2 linked regions of the Oreochromis niloticus genome follow. Each later gene encodes a partner of the first gene's protein in a complex. Links are inferred from orthologs where the notes say so. Each region holds a gene or a part of one and is shown in the gene's direction. Other genes may lie near its edges.

Evidence for each region. Proteins that work in one complex are often made in the same cells at the same time.
Region 2: the proteins of orc3 (region 1) and orc4 are in contact, whole or in part, in a cryo-EM structure (PDB 7JPO), measured with the Homo sapiens proteins. The link is inferred for Oreochromis niloticus from reciprocal best matches to the Homo sapiens genes ORC3 and ORC4. Residues at the interface, in NP_036513.2 of Homo sapiens: Thr227, His260, Arg261, Leu262, Leu263, Pro264, His265, Ala266, Ser269; in NP_001177808.1 of Homo sapiens: Pro370, Lys374, Glu377, Gln381, Ser392, Gly393, Asn394, Ser395, Gln396, Arg397.

Annotation. Positions count from the first base shown.
Region 1 is NC_031983.2:13,549,276-13,556,196, forward strand, and holds the start of orc3 (origin recognition complex subunit 3), read left to right. Parts: upstream 1-3,838; 5' UTR 3,839-3,968; coding exon 3,969-3,992; intron 3,993-4,098; coding exon 4,099-4,153; intron 4,154-4,249; coding exon 4,250-4,347; intron 4,348-4,730; coding exon 4,731-4,869; intron 4,870-5,036; coding exon 5,037-5,141; intron 5,142-5,230; coding exon 5,231-5,394; intron 5,395-5,478; coding exon 5,479-5,618; intron 5,619-5,746; coding exon 5,747-5,906; intron 5,907-6,360; coding exon 6,361-6,474; intron 6,475-6,591; coding exon 6,592-6,725; intron 6,726-6,912; coding exon 6,913-6,921. Other genes in the region: znf292a (zinc finger protein 292a), read left to right, coding at 1-2,295. UniProt on the Homo sapiens protein: Component of the origin recognition complex (ORC) that binds origins of replication. DNA-binding is ATP-dependent. The specific DNA sequences that define origins of replication have not been identified yet.
Region 2 is NC_031986.2:18,203,805-18,210,966, forward strand, and holds the start of orc4 (origin recognition complex subunit 4), read left to right. Parts: upstream 1-4,138; 5' UTR 4,139-4,261; exon of another isoform or gene 4,262-4,331; intron 4,332-4,337; exon of another isoform or gene 4,338-4,594; intron 4,595-4,949; 5' UTR 4,950-4,966; coding exon 4,967-5,023; intron 5,024-5,117; coding exon 5,118-5,194; intron 5,195-6,062; coding exon 6,063-6,153; intron 6,154-6,257; coding exon 6,258-6,333; intron 6,334-6,426; coding exon 6,427-6,512; intron 6,513-6,607; coding exon 6,608-6,656; intron 6,657-6,749; coding exon 6,750-6,901; intron 6,902-6,985; coding exon 6,986-7,159; intron 7,160-7,162. UniProt on the Homo sapiens protein: Component of the origin recognition complex (ORC) that binds origins of replication. DNA-binding is ATP-dependent. The specific DNA sequences that define origins of replication have not been identified yet.

The DNA of each region.
Region 1 (6,921 bases):
ATCTGTCCAAAAACATTTACAAGAACGACAGGGTTGAGAATTCACTATGAAAAAGTCCATCGATTGTCAAAGGCAGAAATGCAGAAGCTTAGAATTAGTGCTAGAAATAGACGTGCATTTAGACTTAACAAAGCTGATGCAGTTATTAAACGTCCAAACACCGATGTCAGTAGCAGCCAGATAGCAAAGTCTGCACCTGTAACTCCTGCTATAAAACAGGAACCACTTGATGTTGCAATTGCACCTCAACCAGACGCTGCCAACAATCTAGACGTTCCTCAGATCACTCCAGAAGACGTGTCAAAGCAAAGCGTGACCTCTGAGGTATTGACTGTTACACGACTACCATCACCTCAAAACTACTTGACTGACAGGCCGTTTGAGGAAGTGGCACAACCTGCTCCTGAAAAAGCTCCAGAGGAACCTAAAGTGGCTGTTATTAACAACAGTCCAGAAATGACACTGAAATCCAGTTTGAAAGAGAAACTCAGTCCCGTTGGCAAAGCAAAAGTGCCGCAAGGAAAATTAGCCGTGAGCCCGAGCAAAGTGAAACAGCTAAAGTCTCCGCCTTCATCTCCTTCATCGTCTCCTGAAAAACCCAGCAGCTCCAAAAGCACACCAACAAAGGAGGAGAAAAAGGAGAAACTTCAGAAGAGGTTAAGCCTCAAAATGTTTGACGCAGACAATGCCTACAGTCCGTACAGACCTTATCGCTGTGTTCATGAGGGATGCACTGCAGCATTCACCATCCAGCACAATTTGATACTCCATTACAAGGCCATGCATCAGGCATCCCTGCCCCCTAACAAAACTGAAGGTGAAACTGAAGCTGAAAAGACCAGCGTTAATACCGGACAGGAGAGCGATCAGACCATAGAAAAAGATAATGAAGTCAGGTGTCAAGTGAAAAATTGCTCAAGGGTGTTCATGGGAATCACACGGCTGGTGCAACATTACCTCTTACTACACAAGTTCACCCGTGACAAAGCCACCGCCATGATGGCCAGTATGAGCATAGGAACTTTTAACTGTGACCGGCCAGAGTGTGCTCTCCCCTTCAGCTCTGTGGAAAAATACATTGAGCACATTAAGAATTACCACAAGGAAATCGCCATTTCTGAGAGCGGCTCCGTTGATCCAACTTTCCGGTGCGAGTACGATGGATGTGACCGAGTGTACACTACAAAGTCAAACCTGCTCCGTCACCTCATCAAAAAGCACGACTATATTTATGACCCCAAAATAAGTGATGGAAGAAGGACTAAATCGGTAGGGCTCTTCCCAGGGGTTAACAATGGCAAAGAGAACGTAGAAAGCAAATTCAGAGTGAAAAAGAAAAACACTAAAAAGAAAGATGGAAAGTCCATTGAACACTGGACTAGTTTTGGAAAGCCTACACTAAAATCTCACGAAGAAGCATCGGCCATGTGCACCAAGAAGTCCTCGCTGCAGTACCCATGCATGATCATAGGTTGCGATGCAGTGGAGTCTGCTGAAAGAAATATATTTAAGCATTACACCACACATGGCCTCACAGAGAGATACATTGAAGATCAGAGGAGCCAGTTCATTTTCTGCAAAAAATACTCACGCGCCAGATGCAAAGATGCAAACAAAGCAGAGGGCACGTCAGCTTCATCTTCTGAGGACATGGAGCCAGAAGAAGTTGAAAAGCCCAGTGACCAGAAAATTGATGAATCGGTAGAAAAAATAGTCCAAGAGGACAGCAAGCTGTCCAACGACGATAGTGCAGAATCTCAAGCTTCCACTGGGACAGAAGGAGGAATTAAAAGAGGCCGTCCCAGAAAACCTGCACATCCCACACCAGCTTGTCCGGAGAGGATACAAACCCTTAGGAACCGCACGACTGTTAACAGTTCAAGAGAGAACTCAAATCCTGGTACCCCTGCAGCCCAAGAACAACGTGATGACGGGGTTATGTCAGCGTCTTTCAAGCCGTTAGGACTTGAGGACTCCTTTCTTAAGTTCTTGGAAACCTCAGAGTCGACCAACTCTTCCAAACGCAAATTAAATGATAAATCTAGTGCTGAACTGCCTTCCAAAAGACAACACACTAACAAACAGAAATCTGCAACCAAAAGTAAAGCAGCTGATGAATTGAAAGGTTGTGAGAGTCTTGTAGACTTCAGAAACCCCCTCAATCTCCAATCAGTGAGTAATGTTAAGATAGTCATGGATAAAACATTATCAGATGGCGCTGATCTTTTGCTAAAGCAGCTACAAGACATGCGGCCCATAGTCATAATAAAAAAGTGGATTTATAGCGGATCATAACCCGATATTTTTTGTTTTCAGCTCAGTCTTACTCAGGATTTGAGAAGTTATGCTGCAGAATGGTTTGTTAATGCATCAAATTTCCAACTGTTAACAGTCATGGTCACACTTAATGAAAAAAAAAGGCCTATTTTGTACCTAATGAAATAACGTCTCGGATGATTTTAAGTATGTATGTTAGTTATAATAACCAGGTAATCTATAGGGCATAGATTTTAGAAACATGTTTGTATTTATGCTTAGTACTGAAGATGTTTTTTTTTCTTTTGCTAAATGGAGACTTTTAAAGAAAACTATGTTTTTATATATCCCTATGGGATTTCAAGTTCTGTTTGTATTTATTTCATCCTTTTACAACACTAGTAGACCTATCTGTAATATTTACATGTCTTCCACAAAGTGTTCAATAAAATGTTACTGGTTCTTTTTATAACATACTGACTGCACACTTTCTATTGTTCTAACTTATATAGTTTACAGTAGCTTTGTTTACGCACAATGCCGCTGTGAAATTATGCACATGATTCGGTTTTAAATGATATAATATATGGAAACTTGGAATATGGTGGGAAAAGGTTGTTGTGAGTAACTGAATAGATGTGGAAACTTTTCATATTTGTGGACACAAAGCTTCCCAAAGGAGCCTGGAAAATGTACAGTTTTTGAAACTTTTTCCATAAAGGGAATGCCAGCAATCTACACAACTAAAGTTGTAGACCTAATGTCAGTTTAAAACACCTTAAATTGGGCATACTGACATGAAAAATGTCAATAGTATAAATAAATCAGTGCATTAAAACATACTTGCATATTAAAACATATTATGGAAGCTTGTTTCTTTCTCTCAAATTTTCCCCCATTCAAACTTCACAATTTCAACTTGCTCAGAAACTAAATTTTGAAACGATATGATGAAAATTGACGTAGCTCTGCTTGCTTTTCTTCTTCTTTTTTTGCAGAAATAAGCCTCCATAGTTCATGGAAAAGTACATTTTAACATAAAAAAAATAATATATTGAGCTTATTTCTATAATTAAACATACTGTTCATTCAGGGGGCTTGTGCATGCATTTTTGGCTTGTTTTTACATATTTTTTCTTAAGGTTATCTAAAACTTTAATTTATTGCGACATATTTCCTCCACACAATGCACAATGGGAATTAACTCAGCTAAAAAAAACTATATATATATATATGAAGAAGTAGGTATGCACTGATTTGAGACTTAAATGGCTGTAATAGAGCTTTATGATTGTTATTGCGTCATTATTTTAAGAGTTGCCAGCTGTAACGCAAAATGGACCTGAAGGACAGTAACGGGACACCGGAGATGCTTTGGGGGAACGTTCAAGATCAGCAATGTTAGAAAGCGTTAACAGCAGTGATCTAACGGGAAAAAAGCTTTCGTTCCTTCTTTTAAATTATTTATCTGGTGTAATTTAATGTTAGTTTTGAAAAGTGGGTTGTGGTTGCATAACTTAAAACAACTTGACAAAAGTATGAACTCACGCTTGAAGCTGTTTATCAGCTGAACACAACCCTTTCCGTATACGTCACTTTGGCGGGAAGTAGATACCCAGCAAGGCTACAGGCATCCGTCATTTTAAATGCACATAGGACCTCCAGCTCAGGGTACAGGCCGGGCTATTCACTGCGGACCCGTGTAGCGAAAGATGGCTACTTCATCCGTGTCAAAGGTAAAGTCTTATATATGTTGTGCTTCATGCATGTTTGATTAAAACTTATTAATTTACTGGCAGTCGTCATACAATGTTAAATGAGACTATTTGTCAACGTTTTTAGGGCTGCTTTGTTTTCAAGCCCAGCGCTAAGAAAAAGAAGAAGACTCTCAGTCTGGGTGAGATACGCGAGTGTTTATACAAGATTTGTCTTCCCGAGCTGTCGGGTGGATTTAGTGGTATTAAGTTGCTGATGTCATGTTTTTTCGCCACAGAGAGTTACTTCGTTCAGGGATGCGAGGATGCTGAGAGCAGTGAAATACGATTCAGGTTATGTCAGGAACTGTGGGACGAAATCAAAACAGACACAGAGGTGAGGACAGATGTTCAGCAGGAAGGCCAGAAAGTAGACTTTTCTGTCCCAAGAAGAAAATATGTGCTCAAAGTAAAGTTAATAAAACTGAGAAAACAGTTAACTGCCTCTAGTTTTTATTGTATACATGCATATTTATGCACGACTCTTCATACTACACATGGCTTTAATGTTGTATATGCAAGCGTGCTTTTATAGTGTTGTAAAATTGAATATATAGTGACAAAAGCAGGAGATGCCTCTGGAGTACTCTATTAATATGATTTTTTTTTTTTAAAAAAGTCGTTAATTTAGTCATGGTTTGATTTTTACTGAGCAGACCGTTTTTGTATCTTCTACATACAAATACATTATACATTCATATGTACTTTTTTGCTTCTTAGGTTTTACAAGATGAACTCAACAGGACAATCTTGGACAGTTTGCTGGACTTCACGAGGAAATGCTCCTCTACACGTCAAAACAGTGACTGGACATCACAGATGAGGGCCAGTGAAATCCCCACAGCAGCTCTAATGCTCGGTATGTTGGTTATGAGGCAGTAATATCTGATGTTTGAGTTAAAAAACATGTATGACTCTCACAACTACATATGATGTAGTATTAGTAGATTTTTAGTAGAAACGAGGCATTTACATTACATGCTGTCATCTCTACCTAATCTGAACTTCCTTTAATGTCCACTCTAGGTGTGAACGTCCCAGATCACGACATGACCTTTCAGAGTCTGTCTGACATGCTAAAGCAGTCTGTCAGCCCTCACGTGGCCTCTGTGCAGGCCAAAGAGTGTGGAGGTAAGGGGTTTCGAGATCAGTCAGAAATCATTTTGTGCTCCCCTCATAGGCTTTGCTTTAAATGGTATGTGTTTGGTTTATGATTTCAGCACTGAAGCATTTGATGAAGAAGGTGCTCGAACGGTTGATGGATACAGTTGTGGTTGTGGATGATGAAGATGAGGAGGAGAATGTGGAGACGAGCCCTCGGGTCCATAGGAGCATGCACTGCTCTCTCGGGATACTTTGTGATTGGTACACTGCAAGAACAAAGGTGGGAGCACAAACCACTGCTGGCGTGCATACAGAGACTTGGATTGTAAGTGATATGTATCATATATGATTTTATTTTTTTCAGAAATCTCCCACTGGTACTCCAGGGAAAAAACGTAGCTCTCAAGTCAGAGATGAGCAGCAGCAGCCTCCTGTTGTAATCATTTTCAAAGATTTGGAGGCTTTTAACCCAAGAGTTCTTCAGGACTTCATCCTCATCTGCAGGTAAATGAAGACTCTTGAGTTGAATCGCTTTCTTATTTTTAGGGCTGCAGATAATACACAAATCATTGATAATGCATTTTGGATTTGCAAGCTGGGCAAGTCTCTGCTAAACAAACTCTGCTCCACAGTCAGTACATTGACCGCCTACCGCTGACCTTCATCTTTGGGATCGCTACATCACCCAGTACCATCCAGCACATGCTTCCCCACTCCGTGTCCTCCCTGCTGTGCATCGAGCTTTTCCAGTCACTGTCATGCACACAACACCTGGCTACAGTCATTGACAAGGTAAGTTCAACCTGACCAAAGAATAAAAAAACATAAAAACACTGATCTGTGCAATCCTCCAGACGGGAAAACCTTCCTGATATCTATGAGTCCATGTGTACAGTTAGCTTTCCAATCTGAAGACTGTTGCATACTTAAGCATATCCAACATCTTCTTTTTAAAAGCGGTTTCCTGAGTGTAAGTTGCATTTTAAACCTCCTGACAACACCAGGTTACAGACGAGCAGCCTCTGGTTAAAGAGGCACGTTTTCAGGAATTAGATGGTACATTTATTATGAAGTGTCCTACATTTATAACAATAGTTTCTGTTTTCCATTTCAGTGCCTCAAAAAGGATACATTTCTTTTTGAGCCATAGCGGTCACACTAACCCTAACTGTAGACGATCAGTGGCCTGGAGGATGTAAAGAAATTAAATAAAAGTAGTTAAATTTTCTTTCTTTTATTATTTCAGTTGATCCTGGCATCACGCATTCACTTTAAACTCAACGGGAAAGTGATGCAGGTCCTCATTGGTGTCTTCCTCTACCATGATTTCTCAGTGAGAAACTTCATTAAGGGACTGCAGGTATGGAGCATCCTCTAACAGTCTCCGCAAGTCTGTCATCCCCCTGCTTTCTTGCCTGAAGTGTAATTCAAATACAGAAATATGTGAGTTTAAAGTTTCTGTTTGGTCCTTGTGCAGCTGGCTCTGCTCGAGCACTTTCACTCTCAGCCTCTCAGTGTTCTGTGTTGCAAGAAAAAGCAGGCTCTGTTCAACGTCACACAGCTCAGCAAACCCAACTTGGACAGGATAAGACAGCTGCCGTCGTTCAAAAGGTACTCAAACTTGTTTCTTTCTCCAATCATCCACGTGTGTGAGTCTAAAGTGCAAATGCAGCACTTATTTAGCTGCAAAAAGTGATAGTAGGTGTCTTAGCATGTTTTTAATTTGTGTATTTGTGTTGACCTTTTTTCAAATGTGAAAGTAAGACTTTGAATTGTTCTAATGTGTGTGTTTCGCTAGGTATGTAGA
Region 2 (7,162 bases), on another chromosome or scaffold:
AAACGTCTGATTTTTTGTATTACAAATAAATAATGTTGAATTTACTTGCAGAAAAATGACTTAGAGGCAACTTGTTAGTAATAACACTGTATGACTGTGGCATGATTATATTAAGTACTAAAACAAACCTTAACAATTAGTTATATAAATTTCATATACAGTTTTCACTCTTTCTGTCAGTTTGGACGCATTCACAACACAAACACCCCAACGAGGCTTTCATGGAGATGTTTATTGGGTATCAAGATGTCAAGTCAGCTGACTTTGCAAAGCAAAACTGAAACTACTAAAAATTCAACTAAAACTAGACAATTTCAAACAATAATCAATATAACAAGCACGACAAGACACTTGTTATAACCAAGGAAGGCTGCCATGGCAGTGCAGTCATCAGCACTGTCACCTCACAAGAGGCTCCTAGGTTGGATTCATCCACTGGACTAGATGCAAACTCCTTTCTTCAAAGTCCAAAAACAGGTATGGGGTTAGGTTAGTTGGTTAAGTCTAATTAACTGAGTTTAGGCGAGGACCGACAGGCTGCACTTTGTCTTTGACGGAAGATGGGTAGGCTGTGGTCATTTCTGATGAGCTGTAACCTCAGTTTCCTGTTCTTAGCAGTGTCACCTGCTATGATCTTCTGCTGCTGTAGACCATCTCCATCAACATTCAGTATGTTGCCTGTTCAGAGATGCTCTTCTGTATACTTTGATTACATCCATCCACTTTCTTACACTAATACAATTCAGGATCAAGCCAGAATTTGGTGTAAACAACATGAAGCATGGCTCCATCCTGCCTTGTATCAACAGTTCAGGCTGGTGTTGGATGTGTAACGGTGTGGGGAATATTTTCTTGGCACTCTTTTGGTCCTTAGTACCACCTGAGCATCATTGAAACTCTACAGCCTACCTGAGCGTTGTTGCTGAGCATGTCCATCCCTTTATGATCACAGTGTACCATCTTCTGATGGCTGCTTTCAGCATAATAACACACCATGTCACAAAGCTCAGATCATCACAACCTGGTTTCTTGAACATGACAATGAGTTCACTGAGTTCACTGTACTCAGATGGCCTCCACAGTCACCGGATCTCAATCCAGTAGAGCCCCTTTGGGATGTGGTGGAACAGCAGATTCATGTCATGGATGTGCAGCCAACAAATCTGCAGCAAATGTGTGATACTGTCATGTCATCATGGACCAAAATCTCAGAGGAACAATTCCATCACCTTTTTGAATCTGTGCAAGGCAGAATCAAGACAAGGCAAAAGGATATGTGTGAGTCCTTTCCTCTTTGGAGCTAAAAGAGGCCACTCAAACACATGAGATATCAGTGGAAAGCCTAGGATGTCCTTTATTTAGTACATCAGGACTTTAAGAATCTCAAATCACTCAAAAGATATAAACCAAAAACAAATGTCCATTACAGAGGACATAAATGAATAGGCTGGTTCACAGGAGGACATGACTGGCTCACATCAGAAACAGTAGAAATGAACACAGTGATCTTTAAGTTCTGCTGACTTGATCTGCAAAATAGTTTGAGTTAATGCCGAATAATGACTTTGATTAATTCTAAAAGGTAGAAAAAGTGACAGGAAATTAATTTAGTACAACTTTTTTTTTTCCTTTTCCTTTTTTGGGGGTAGGGGGAAGGGTCATTGTTGCAGAAGGTAAGCTTACATAAAGACCCCTTACAGAAGTTTTAACTTTTGTAACGTTATCATTACCATGTCTTACTTTGTCAAAAATAAAAGGTGGTCTTTACATATTAAGCACAATGTACTAAAATGATCAGAAGCCAATGGCTACATACTGAAACTCAGAATATGTGGACTCACAGGGTTAGAAAAAAAGTCACCATCTAATTAAAAACAATCCCATTACCAGTTATTTTGCTAGTACCTTACAGGTACTTTGTTAAATACTGTATATGAAGTGTAATTTGATAAGCGTTTAACACCATAAGCTACAAACTGCAATGATAATGATTAATTACAAGAACATCTTTTAGCAGAAACTAAACTATTCATATTTATGAACAAGATGACACTCATTAAGGTTAATTTTGACTGGCTGCGCGCACAAAAACTACAAAAATACAACACAAAGTTGCAGTGGAGCAAAAACAGACACTCAGCAAAATAATTTCCTGAGATAAATAAAGGTCATAAAAGCTGAAGAAAACATGAGCTCAGCCGTCTGAAGCGAGGACGAGATGCAGCTCAGGGTGCAAACGCCTGAATTTTGTGTGAAGGTCAAACCCGAGGAGACGTTAAATGAATTCAGCGTAGGGCTGCTGAAGGAAGGAGCGCTTCATGTATTTTTAAGGGCAAACACAGAGGGCTGAATGTGCGAGCGGAGGGTCGTATTTTAGAATAATGTGACAGGCTAAATGTGAGCGGAGAGCGGGAGACGATTTGCGAGATATCTGGCGGTTTGCTGTGTCTTTTTTTTTTCCTTTTCATCAGTCAACCAAAAAGCCGCAGGAAGCGTTTAAGTGTCTCCAGAGCTTCAGTGAGTAAAAGATGCTGTTATGCAGGCGGCCTTTTAGCCATTCACATGAGCCATCCCTCCTAATTTTATCAAACCAGAGCAGAAGTGGCTGTTATAGTTTCACAAATAAACGTATATATAATTACACATAATTGTAGTCTTTCTCAGTGCCGACAGACTATTTCTTATATATCTTACTATAACACAGAAAATCTGTGTGTTCATTTCTTTGTCTACCAACTCCTCCTACATGATCACAAGCAGCGCAACCAAACTTGGCACACAAGTATGTCTTAGGCACCTGAAGGTTCTTATCTATGTCAAATGTTATGATGCCATCATGTTGCCTAGCAACCACCTATAGCAACTGGCCAAAATGACTTGTTTTTAGCATTTATGCAGATGTAAAATCTCTTAAGAGCATCCTGTTATTTTAATTTCACAAAAATAACATAAAATGTAATCTACAAAACTTGAATTGTGAATAATATATTATATATAATATCATATTGTTTTCATTTCATAGCCAGTAAATGCTGTAGAACGGAAATGCGCAGGATCAAATTCAAGAATAAAATGTATATAAAATTCAACAAATAAAATCCTATTCATGTAAAATTCATAAAAAGCATAAAAAGACACATTGTTTTTAACTTTTGCCCTCAAGACAAGGATGTGTCATTTGTTATAATAACAAATTAAAAATATTGTATTTGAAATTGAAATTGAAAATAAAATAATATTTTGTCATTTTAATTTATATATTTTTTAAACAAGTTCAAAAGTCTGTACACACCTGAATGGGTTATTCAAATATTCAAATTCAAATATAACCTCTGTGCAATGTCTTCTTTACTGCTAATACTTTTATTAAATCACAACGTGACTTAAATTGTTGTGGATTTATGTTAATAGTATTGACATATTTGAATAGCTTTGTGCTTACATAGCTTCAAATCTAAATCTCTACTTGAGCCCATTTCTGATGAGGCTTCAGTGAACAGTAGATGGTTCTGTGTCAGCTCTTTACTGGATTCTTTCATGTTTTTTAAGGACATGATTTTCAGATACTGTTCATCTGATGTAGATGGTTTTTGAAGGCTGACAGCTCTTTAGCCCTCCACTTCTCCAGCTTCCTCAGATTTTTTTGAGGGCAGACTGCACACCATGTTGTGCTATGCCAAGTTTTCAGCTAATAGCTTTTAGGAATCACGTTTGTTAGTACAAAAAATACTGTTTAATGTCTGTCAAACTGTGTAATCTTTGACATTTTTCATAGATCCAACTAAAGACATTAGAACAAATGATGTGTTTTTGTGGTTGTGGTTGTCTTTTTTACGCTTCAATGATTCATAGTGGTTTAACCAGCAAAAGATTGGCCAGGGACAAGGACTGAGCAGAAAATAAGTGAAAAAGCAGCCGATATCCAAAGAAAAACGTTCAAAGACATTCAGGAAGCCTCAAGAACTACTGCTCAAGACCACTTTGAAAACAATAGAACAAAGTCTGTCTACTTGGTAACAAAATATAAAAAAACACAATTGTTGACTTTTGCACATTATCATATGTCATGTTTTTCTTTTAAATCATTTTTTATTTGTTATTATTTTATTTGTGCGTATGTGTGTGAATAATATAATTCCACAACCACAGCGCTGCTCTGAGTCACAGCCAATCAGAGAGCAGATATAGTCAAAGCCGGAAGTCGTCATCGCTGGCAGAGGAGTATTCCCGCGAAGATTGAGGCGTCTCATCGTTGCTCCCGGTATGTTTGTTCTGATGTGTGTGTGAAAAGAAGCTCGACTAGCTGACACCTGTCTTACACAACGGTAGAAGTAATCAAAGTTAGAAATGGAAAACATTCGTGCTTCTTCAGCACGCTTTTAGCGAGCAGATCTTCGAGTAAAGCCCTGGGTTGCGTCGCAAGCGTGTAGCACCGAGGTTCTGTTGTAAAAATGCCAATTTTGTGTTCTCCTGACTTGTCGGCGGATATGATCTCAGCCTTGAATGCAGCCCGAGACGGATTCTCACACTTATGAGTCGCTTTCTAATTCGGCATACATAAAATCTATTTAGACATTCATTTTTTGACCAAATTGTAAGTTAAGCAGTCAAAGGCAGCTATGAGATAGAGTGTTATTGTTGCATCAGCTGTATACCGAATTAAATTGTTTTATCTTCACCTGTTATCGACCCTAACATTGGTTACAGCACAACTGTAAACATGTCCTGAAGCGATGTGATTTCGTTTTGGTGATTATTAGTCTTACATTTGGCTTAAACTAAAAAAAAAAAAGGTGTTATTTATTGGAATTAAAACCGTTGTTTCCACCATGTTGGTGCATTTAATTGACACCTAACGGCAATGTAAAGTGTCAGTATTATCCCCCTGATAAATGAATTTAGTGGCATGTTGAAGTTGACCTGTTTTCCCACTTTTTCACATTTTGCAGTTGACAGTCACATCATCATGAGTAAGAGGAAGGCCAGAGATGCTCATCTGCCTGTAGGGGAATGCATCAAACAGGTGTGTGTATGAACAGCCAGTGAGTTTTTCAGTGTCATACTCTGAAATATACCTAATAAAATGTAGTTTATTTATAATACATGTTTCTGTGCAGGTTCAGCAGATTTTAAGGGAGCGATTTTGTGAGAGGCGGCTCCCTGACAGACTAGAGGGAGTAGAAGCTCAGTACAAGTAAGTTCATAACAGCAGGGCCTGTGGATAGAGGTGATTTTATAATAATGTCAACAAGAAAATCACGGAGAAAATCAGAACGTTAAATTCAAACAAAGTTGGATATTAAAATAAGAAACAAGACAATCAGTGCGAGAAAAGAAACTGGAGAAATGACTGGCACAGGTTCCTGCCTCATAGCTTCAACCGGATCGGCCTGTTTTAATCCTCGGGGCGTTTCTGGCGCTGTCAAAGCTGTGTGTTTGTGTCTGTGTGTGTGTGTGTGCGCATTGTGACTTCGTTATGGTTGTCCTTTGAAAACACATTCTTGTTTAAAGTGGAGGTCTGGAAAGAGGCTTAAAAATGTGAAAACACACTGACTGGTAAAACACTGCCCACTGTGGTGAAACGTATAGTAACAGTATGTAGGGTGTAATTATGAAAGGTACCTTTACTAGTGATCAGTAAAAGGTTAAAAGTTCGAGGCCATTCCAACCTTACTGTTTATACAGGAGAGGAGGAATCTGTTGTAATCTGGCCTTGTGAAAATAAAACCATGAATAATTTGTCCTAAGTGTTTGGGAAAGGCAAATAAGCTGTGAAGGGTGTTTGTTTTTGTTTCGGCTTCAGTTCCTACAGGTGTTGGATGGTTTAGAAGGCCTGTAGTAGAACTGTCATCTATAATTAAGAGCAGACCTGGAGCTCGGTGTGAGTTTCAGTGACCCAGTTCAGTCGCACCTGGGTGACAGCTCTGTCCCAGTTTCCTGGCCGACTCGGCCACAACACGAGCTTCCCCAGTGAGAGATTTCCACTCATTAGAAGCAGGAGATGGGGGTGTAAATTTTACTAAGCATTGTGGGTATTGTAGTTAAAGCCATTGTGTTTGCAGACACCTCCTGGAGCTGCTGAGGCGGACGGCGATCCACGGGGAGAGTAATTCTGTGCTAATCGTGGGTCCCAGAGGAGCAGGGAAAACGACGGTGAGCCGTGGAAAAAATGAATTTGTGTTTTTTAAATTTAAATAATTTTTTAAAAGTATGGACTTGTTGTGAATCCTGTGAGGTTTGTGTTTTTGTGCCTGAAGCTGCTGCAGTGCGTGCTGAGAGACCTGCAGAAAGAGGAGAAGGTGCAGAAGAACCTTCTTCAGGTTCACCTCAATGGTGCCAAACCTCATTTAAATTCCTCACAATTTAAGAACCCACACGTTTGCTGGAAATCTGAATTGGATGGATGGGTTTGTGTGTTTGCTGCAGGTCTCCTGCAGACTGATGACAGAATAGCGCTGAAAGAAATAACCAGACAGCTCCACCTGGAAAACGTTGTTGGAGACAAAGTGTTTGTGAGTATTAAGAGAGACTGTTATTAACATTTTCAGCTCTGAAAACTCCTACAAAAATCTTTCTACCTTTTTTTTTTTTTTTTTTTTTTCCTTAGGGAAGCTTTGCTGAAAATCTGGCTTTCCTCCTGGAGGCATTAAAAAAAGGTGAGAAAATTCAAATATTTAAAGCTGATTTCAGACTAGAGGGGCAGGTTTGATGTTTTTTTTTGTTCTTGTTTTGTTTTTTAATCCTAAAAGGCAATCGCAGCAGTAGCTGCCCAGTGTTGTTTGTCCTGGATGAGTTCGACTTATTCGCCCACCACAAGAACCAGACTCTGCTCTACAACCTGTTTGACGTCTCACAGTCCGCCCAGGCTCCCATCGCCGTGGTTGGCGTCACCTGCAGACTGGTGGGCCTCAGAATACCTCTCAGAAACGCTACTTAGATAATGGTAGGTGTTTTTAATACGTGTTGTGATTCTTTTTCCATTCAGGATGTTCTGGAGCTGCTGGAGAAGCGGGTGAAGTCGCGGTTTTCCCACCGTCAGATCCACCTGCTGAGCAGCCTCAACTTCACCCAGTACCTGGAACGGGTTTGGACGCAACTCAGCCTGCCGGACAGCTTTCCTGACAAGAAGTTCGCTCAGGAGTGGAACGCTGGTGTAAAGGTG